Rattus norvegicus: one gene and its partner. The protein of the gene in region 1 purifies or fractionates together with the protein of each later gene. This does not show direct contact. Links are inferred from orthologs where the notes say so. Each region holds a gene or a part of one and is shown on either strand. Other genes may lie near its edges. The genes, in order: Casp3 and Cryab.

Region 1 (4,462 bases):
ACTTTACCAGACCAATGACATTCACACCATTTTTACAGCCTCTTGAAAGTATATCCGTTAACGATTTAGTTATCATTTAATTGACATGTAGTTTATCTTGACAGACTAAATCTTCCTGCAGATGTAGGCCTGAAAACGTTTATCTATTATACTTCTAGTTCAGTTTTGTCACCAAATGGAAGGAAGCTAAGGCCCACTCCCTGTTCCTAGACTACTTCAGAAGCCCTCTTACTCCAGCTGCCCAACCTGGAAAGCATCATATTGCTTTTCATGATTTTTTTCTCTCTTGAGGCCCAGAACCACTTCAGCTCCCTATGGGTCCTGGCTGTGAGGAGAAATTACAGGGCTCAGACGAAAAATACCACCTCCAGCTGTTTTGCTTTAACAAGATGAAGTCAACATAACGGAGAGAACGGCTGAGGATACTTCATCTAAGGTATCATTTGGTTAAGAACGTTTGGCACAGGGATGGGTCAGTGCCCAACAAGGAGATCAGGATTTCTCAATTAGTTTTTCCCTGTGAACTACAGCCTCCACGAAGCATCGCTAGGGTTGAGTGCGACCTATGCGAAAGTTTCTCCCAACAGAAACTGGCTGATCCTCACTCACTTTGAGAGGGATGATGATAGATTAATTTGTTTCTGGAATCTGCATTTAACTACTATGGCTCTTCAGAAGGGCAAACCACTTATCCTTTTAAAGCCTCTGTTGGAACTGGAAAAACTAAGAAATGTATTATGGAAATGTAAGAGCTCGAATTCCACACGCAGCGAATGGTAGACATTTGGGTACCTACGTACACTACAGTCCCTCACATCCGACCAAGCAATTGCGTTGGGGACAAGCAAGCTACTGCTCTATGGAGTGAATTTGTCCTCAGAGTATCCTGGGCCCCTGAAGTATACTGACTGCTTTGCTCATGTTTTCGTATATTATGCAAAAAACACTTCTCAGAGTCAGAGTCTGAAATAGGACCCAAAGCAGTCGGAGATTTCAGTAAGGTAGTCAGGGCTTCTGACTTGAGGGAGCAAGAGTTAGGCGGAAGAAAGGCCTCGGTTCATTTGAGAGGAAGTAGAGATTGCGAGTGCGGGGGTTTAGCCCTATTTTCTCCGGCCGGAGCTCTGACTGACAGAGGCGTCTCCCTGAACGCCCACCTTTGTGACCCTGGAATCAGGCCTGGCCTAGAGACCTCTCTAAATTTACCTCAAGCAGTGCAAGTCGGCCGGAGGCGGCAGATGGTGGAGGCAGAGATGGCGGGAACCAGAACTTGAAACCCCCGCGAGGGGGCGGGGCCGGAGGGGGCGGGGCTCTAGGGTGAGCCATCGGTGGGCGGGGCCTGCGCTGCCGCGGCTCGGCTGCAGTCCTGGCGCGCTGGAAATTAGGGTTGGGGGAGGGGATAAAGAGAAGGAGGAGGAGGTCGAGGGGGCGGGGCGTGGGCGGGGCGTGGGCGGGACCGGCGGTAGGCTGCTGATGCAGTGTTGGTGTTGGTGGGATCAAAGCTTAGTGTCCTGAGGTGCGGAGCTTGGAACGGTACGGTGAGTGTCTGCTGCTTTCGCGCTTTCCAGGACCTGCGTTGCCACCGGGAGCCGGCGCTCTGTCGCCCAGTCTGCAGCTCCTAGGAAGAGGCGGGGGAAACGGGCGATCTGGGCGGAGGATCCTTTGTGTTGCCTCCAGGCTTGCTCAGGCAAGCACTGAAGGCAGAGAAGCTGGAAACAGCGCCGGTAGCGTGGTCTGGAGCTGGGAGCCCAGACCCGGGAGGCCAAGCTGGTGTCCCTAAACCTGGGTGAACCGGGGCAGGACTCAGACCCTCGAATATGGCGCAGGGGCCGCGCCGAGGCGCAAAAGGCGGAGTCCGGGGATCCGGAGATTGCCCTGGGCACCGAGCTTCAGGGGTGGGAGGGGGTGAGTCCATAGTTGGGGTGAGCCTGGGAGCCGTGTGGCTGGAGGTGGCGGGATCCTGGAGTTGCAGGCTGAAGTGTGGACTCCGGAGCAGAGGATGGGTAGGGGAAGTTCTGCTCTGGGGCCTGAAGAATAGGCTGATGCTGACCTTAAGGCGGCTCTAAGGGACCCAGCCTCCCTGTTACAAGAGTATTTGGTCTCTACCTTTGGTCTTTTCCAGTGGCATCTTTGGTTCTTGTGGAGAGCTAATTTTAAGCATTGCTCCTCCAACTCTCTTTCTTACCCTGAAGCCTTTCGTTAAATACTCCACCTTATTCCTTTGTTGGTCAGTCACTGTAGGAGCTTGCATTGACATCTCTTGGACCATGCACAGAGAGCTTGTCCTTACTTCACACTTATTAGTTGGTCTCCTCTGAAGTCCGACTTGAGCAGCAGGGTCTTTACCTCATTCTTAGTTGAGTCACCCAGGAAACCCTTCTCAGGGACCTTCTCAGGACCCAACTTCCGCTGTTAGTCACTGAGCCTTGTAGACCTATGAATCTGACAGATTTATACCTGGCTGACCCTTCTGAGTCTTGTGGACTTTCTAGGTGTCTGCCAGATTGTTACCCACCTCAGGGAACTGAAGCAACCTCCTTGCAGGTTTCTGCCTCCCCCCCACCCCCCAAGGTTCTTCTCCAGTGCACTCCTTAAAACATAAACAAAAACAGTTTTCTAGCTGTTCGTGTTTACCCTTAGGGCTTAAGGGTAAAAGCCTATCCTCTAACCGGGTTGGCAAAGCCAAACCCTGGGTCTTGACTGTCTTCCCCGTTTTATCCTTTAATCACGTGTCCTTTTGGTTTTTCTTTGCTCCCTCAGTGCACCGTCTCACCTTTTCTCCCCACTGATACATTTGTCTATGAATAGGAGCTGCTTCGGAGGTTTCAGTTCTTAGTTAACAATTCAAGGTTGAATCTTCCCATTCCTTCCTTTGGGGCAGGCATTTCCTGAAAGCAGCCTTGTCATTTCCTCTACTTTTGCTTGTTTGTTTGCCTACAGAACTGTGAGCAAACACTGCTAGGCACTAATTTTAGCATGGTGCCCTTCCTTACTGGGTTTTTTGCACAAGTGATTGCTCAACCATTTGTTTTATTACAGCAAAATGGTTGATTAAAATGTGGATTAGGAGATTTTGGTGGGTGGGAAATGTGGGGCCGTTGTTACAGTTTGAGTATACAAAATAGCCGAGGAGATGCTAAACTGGGGGTGTGGCCAGCCTTTGGGAAGCCACTTTGGATGTGTTAATGGTAGAGCCCTGTCACAACCCAGTGTTGAAACTTTAAAGGCTTTGATTTGCTGTCCAGCAGAATAAGGCTTTTGCAAAGTGAGAATGTGTTTTAATTAGTGGAAGTTTATTGAAGCCTAGCAGTTCAACTGGTACAAAGTAACAAGTGAAATTCTGCACCTAATTAAATCAGATTGCTTTGTGGTCCTGCAGAAAGTTTCTGTCTCCTGCCATTTTAAGTAAGAACCCTATATCTTTATCTGATCTGAGTGGTTCCAGTGCCACTCTATGGTTTCAAACTTAGCAACATATTCACTTCACCCGCTTTCTAAAGTTACAATACAGTCTTTTCTTCAAACACATTGCATTAGTTCTGGTCTTCCTGTCAGATAATACTTAAAGTTCTACTCCAGTGATAGAGGTTGAAAGATGATGTGGAAATTTTTACATTCTTAAGTACTGTTTTATATAGTCTTTTAACAGATTAAAAAATATTTTTGGAGAGGAAAGAGTATTCTGTCATCTGACTGTCTGAGGCCAGGACCTGGGTGCTTACCTGCTCCTTCATAAAGAAAGCATAATCTATATAGCTCACAGGGTTTTGTAAAGATCAGATGAAATAGTATGTGTGACAATGTTTTGTTAAGGGTGACATTCTCCATAATAGTTCTTGTTTTGACCTCTTTGTTTTGGTCTTCAATATTGCCTGGAGAGCTTCATTCTGCTAAAGTACAACGAAATTATCTAATAAGGACTAAATGTGGGCTAATTAACATCTGCCTTGCTGCTGTTTTTAGATACCAGCAAACAAGAATATAAGCTCTGTATAGGGATAGGGTCTGCCTCTTCCACTACTTAATACGCTGAGGGTTCAACGGTTGATATTCAGTAGATTACATGGCTATCTGTCATTTTTATAAAAGACATTAAGGATCTTCCACTCTACTTTTATTTCAACAACAACAACAAATTGTTTTCAAACAGGTCAGTAATTCTTACACATCCCTAAGAGCATATAGGTTTATCCTCTAAAGGTTTCGCTTGGGAGAGGACAAGACAGACCCTTTGCAGATAGTAAGCACCACATTCTTTCCAGCTTGTGCCTCAAGGTCAGAGAGCTTCCTTAGACGAGATCCATCGCGTTCAGGGTGGTCTAGCTGTAGACAAAGGGCTTCATCAGGCTGGTCTGCCTTCCTGGTTGTGTGATTCATTCCAGAAACAAGAAAGCAAGATGATTTATTTGTTCCTATGATATGTTCTCCATATTTTCTTTTCCTTTCCAGCTATCTTTTCATAAAC
Region 2 (4,509 bases), on another chromosome or scaffold:
CCTCTTCCTCTTCCTCGGGGTCAGGAGGTGCAGGAAGCAGGGAGATGTAGACCTCATTGACTTCCGTGTCCAGATGCCGGCCACCCCGCGGTGCCTCCAAGTTAAGGATGCCATCATGGGAGAGAGCAGCTCTGACCCGCCAGGGGTCCACATCTGCAGGCAGGACATAGGTGCGACAGAACTCTCGGGACACGAAGCCGTGGCGGTCCAGACGTTGGGGGTGTCGGGCAGACACCTCTAGCAGGTTGTCCACAGTCCTCACGGTCACCTCATCTGGGGTAAAGTGGCTCACATCCAGAAATGCCTGGAACTTGCCTTCACTGAGCCTGAGCTCTGAGGCCCCTGCCCTGCCGCCCTCCCCAGCTCTGGCGGCCCGGGGCCGAACATAGTAGCCATGGTAGAGGGTGGGGGTCAGGATCTCTTCTGGCAGGAGGCCTGGGAGCAGAGAAAGAAAGAGAAGGCAAGAGGCAGGATGAGGAAGAATGCAGCGGGCACAGACAGGGCTGAAAGGCGATATCTGGAGATATGGGCTAGAAGAGCAGGTGGGAAACTGTAGAGGGGCTGGGAAAGGAGAGGAGATGGTTACGGAAAAAGCGAGCTGGAACTGGAGGACAGAAGCAAAACCAGAAAATACTCTGAAGCGTGCAAGGCCCGGACACCGAAAGCCCTGCCGATCTAAAGTTTGGTCCTGAAGTCTGTTAGCAAGACCAGAGAGAGTCTTGCTTGAGGGGGGAGTCTGGGGTGGGAGATGGCTCACCTCAGGAGTTCACTTAAGCCCCAGGTAGAGTGGAGGCCAGTGAAGCTGGGCAGTGAGCCCAGAATTTCCGGAGGTGGGGGTAGGAAGCATCTGAGCCATACCTTCTCCGAAGCGCTGCTCGCCCAGGCGGCTAGGGTTGGCAAATTCGTACTCGGCAGTGGCTGGGTGGGCGTGTGGCACTGTGCGGCCCGACATGACTGCTGTTGCGACTAGTAGCCCTGATCCCAAGTGTAGCCCCAACAAGATCAAGGCGACCCCTCCAGCTTCAGAGGGAGAGCCAGGACTCAGTCAGAGTGGGGGCGGGGTCTACACCACCCAAAATAGTGCAGAGCGTCTGGGGGATGGGGGAGGGGTGGGAGCCTAAGTCTAGAGTGCAGCTATGAGGGTGTGATCAGCGCAGCCTGGACCCCCTAAGTCCCCTCCTCTGTATACCCTTCAGCTGTCGCATAGGCCTGGAAGAACAGCTGAGGGTCCTGGTCCTAGAGTAAGCTGGGAAGAGAAACTGGTGCGCTGCAGGAGGGCAAGGAGAGGCCTGGTTGGGCCCTTCACCAATTGTACATTCCACATCACCCTTTGTCCTTATCAGTCTCAGGCACTGAGCACATTACTTAGAAAAAAAAAAAAAAAAAGACAATGTTCTATGAGCCACAGAACGTCAAAAATACAAGAAACATTTTCTGTCTTTTTAATGTCAGGGTCTTCTGAACCTAGATCAACTCGGGGTTCCAGTCAGACACCTAGTTCTGACATATTGGTGGTCACAGCTCTCCTCTGGGACTCCACAAAGAGTTAATGTCCCTGGGGCTCAGCCCAGGAAGATTCCAGCCTCTGCCCAGGCCCAAGATAGTTGCTGGCTCAATTCCCCTGGCATGCAAGACTGGAGAGGAGGAGGGGCCCACCAGCAGCTGCTTGGGATTCCAGACCCTGTCCTGGCTCCAGAGAACAAGGATGGGGTGGGTGGGTGCCACTAGGTGTGGACAGAGAGCTAGTGAAACAAGACCGTGACAAGTCACCGGCCAGCTCAGCCCTGCCCCGTGTTTCTCTTTTCTTAGCTCAGTGAGTACTGGGTATGTGTCACCCTGCCAAATCCCTGATCACAAGTCCCCATGAACTGTCGGGGAGCTGGGATAATAAAACCCCTGACATCACCGTTCCAGAAGCTTCACAAGACTGCATATATAAGGGGCAGGCTGTAGCAGCGGCTGAAGGAGTTGACCGGCTAACCGACTCTACACTCATCTAGCCATCATGGACATAGCCATCCACCACCCCTGGATCCGGCGTCCCTTCTTTCCTTTCCACTCCCCAAGCCGCCTCTTTGACCAGTTCTTCGGAGAGCACCTGTTGGAGTCTGACCTCTTCTCTACAGCCACTTCCCTGAGCCCCTTCTACCTTCGGCCACCCTCCTTCCTGCGGGCACCTAGCTGGATTGACACTGGGCTCTCAGAGGTAAGTCTCCCTTGTGCCAGGGCAGGAATACGTATCCTTCCTGGTCTCTCCATTCCTTTGCCCTTTCACCCTGCCTAAGTCATTTTAGGCATGTGCGTGTGCAAAGGTACAGAGAAATGAGGTTACTGTTTTCTTCTTCCTGTGGGCACCTGTTTCTGTTTGATGCTCCTGTTTCCTGGTCCATTTTTCTGTGCATGGTGCCTCTTTCTCCTCTTTCAACTCCTTTACCCACCTCTTTAATAGTCCCAGTCCTGGCAGATTTTATCATCTCAAACTGTAGAGATCAGATAGAAACCCACTCATTCTGGGCTTTTCCTGTCTTCTTTCCTCCCCACTTCCTTTTGATGGAGCTGGATACATCAATCAATATTCTCTCTCTCTCTCTCTCTCTCTCTCTCTCTCTCTCTCTCTCTCTCTTCCTTGGCCTATGACTTTCCGGGTTCCTCGGGGCTGAGACAGTGCATTGACTTCAGTCCATGCCTTAAGAGGACCGCTCTTGGGAAGCCCTGACTTCTTATCTCAGCAGCGTGGGAGATAAGATTAACAGAGGTTGTCACAGATAACACTGTGGTTTAAAAATATTCGCGTGTGAGGAAACAGGAGCTGAGTGAGCAAGGGCTTTGGAAGGACAGAACATTCCAGATCGAGTGGGTTGGAAACTTGGCAGGCAACTGAACAAGAAAAAGGGGGCTTTTGTTTTATAGACAAATGACAAAGCCAGCACTGGGTAGAGAGGCAGCAGATGCCATCCCCAGACCCATTCTTGTGACTAGTCTCCTACTGACCCGTCTTCTTCCCTGTGCCTCTCGGTAAAGTTTGGGACTGATGGATGACTAAGAGGTGTCTTTTGGGTATCACCATGGTGGCTCACATATACCAGTGTCACTAGTCATAAGAGGATTTTTCCCCCAGCAGCCAGGTAGAGGATGGATTACCAGGGCAGGAAGTAAATCTCCTGGACGATGAGCCTTCTCCAGCTTAATGGACATTCTACCATCTTTTCTCCTCCGCCCCCTTGTTATTCTAGATGCGTATGGAGAAGGACAGGTTCTCTGTGAACCTGGACGTGAAGCACTTCTCTCCAGAGGAACTCAAAGTCAAGGTTCTGGGAGACGTGATTGAGGTGCACGGCAAGCACGAAGAGCGCCAGGTGTGTGGACCTTTCTGCCTTCTCTTGTGAATTCATTTAGTGCCCTGCTGGATGCCAGGGACTGCCGCCACCAGCCTCTGAGGCTGGCAGAATTCCAGTCCCCAAACATAAGACTAGATCAGGAGTTATAGATCAATGGCTGGGAAACAAGTTAGGGCTAGATCTGCTGTTAGTGTTGTGGCTGTGCTGAGAGAACTTTCCCCTGGATGTTCCTTTTGATTGCCTTGTCTTGTCCAGTGACGTCAGAATAGCAGAAGAATTCTCAACATTCCCAACCCTCAGCACATCCTAGGCCAATTGAATCTGAAGTTTTAGGGACATAGCTCAGGCATCAACCTTTAAACAAACAAACAAACAAACTCACTCCTTGGGTACTTTCTGTACCCCAAACTGGCAGCCATTGCTCTAGGCACAGTGTGCTGTACATAATGGCTCTGCGAAATGACAGTCACCACGGAGTCGAAGGCAATAAAATCTGTGGCTTTTGAATGTTCAGGATTCCATGCCTCTTCTGCTCAGTTTAATGCTATGCTACTTGGTTTGTCTGCTTTTCAGAGCTTCAGGCTTATGGCTGTGAGGAAGTTAATTGAGATTTGTTTGTGTGGATGCTTGGGGTACTTGGGATTCAATAGGTAACAGGATTAGCATCCACAATTCCTCTTGCATTTTTAGCATTTTTTTTTCTTGACTTCCTAAAAAGGTGTTATGATTGCTTCTTAAAAATTAATGACTTGGGGGGCTGGGGATTTAGCTCAGTGGTAGAGCGCTTACCTAGGAAGCGCAAGGTCCTGGGTTCGGTCCCCAGCTCCGAAAAAAAAGAACCAAAAAAAAAAAAATTAATGACTTGGGGTTGGGGATTTAGCTCAGCGGTAGAGCGTTTGCCTAGCAAGCGCAAGGCCCTGGGTTCAGTCCCCAGCTCCGAAAAAAAGAAAAGAAAAAAAAATTAATGACTTAGGGCCTGGAGAGATGGCTCAGCAGTTAAAAGCACTGACCGCTCTTCCAGAGGTCCTGCATACAATTCCCAGCAACCACATGGTGGCTCACAACCATCTGTAATGGGATCCAATGCCCTCTTCTGGCATGCAGGTGTACATGCAGATAGAGTGCTCATACATAAAATTAAAAAAATCTTAACAAAAAATAACTCAGCTGT

Evidence for each region.
Region 2: the proteins of Casp3 (region 1) and Cryab purify together in Homo sapiens (affinity purification with western blotting; 3 studies listed by BioGRID). This does not show direct contact. The link is inferred for Rattus norvegicus from reciprocal best matches to the Homo sapiens genes CASP3 and CRYAB.

Annotation. Positions count from the first base shown.
Region 1 is NC_086034.1:52,410,760-52,415,221, reverse strand, and holds the start of Casp3 (caspase-3), read left to right. Parts: upstream 1-1,489; 5' UTR 1,490-1,530; exon of another isoform or gene 1,531-1,535; intron 1,536-4,462. UniProt on the Homo sapiens protein: Thiol protease that acts as a major effector caspase involved in the execution phase of apoptosis. Following cleavage and activation by initiator caspases (CASP8, CASP9 and/or CASP10), mediates execution of apoptosis by catalyzing cleavage of many proteins.
Region 2 is NC_086026.1:59,989,855-59,994,363, forward strand, and holds the start of Cryab (alpha-crystallin B chain), read left to right. Parts: upstream 1-1,676; 5' UTR 1,677-2,005; coding exon 2,006-2,206; intron 2,207-3,233; coding exon 3,234-3,356; intron 3,357-4,509. Other genes in the region: Hspb2 (heat shock protein beta-2), read right to left, coding at 1-435, 859-952. UniProt on the Homo sapiens protein: May contribute to the transparency and refractive index of the lens. Has chaperone-like activity, preventing aggregation of various proteins under a wide range of stress conditions.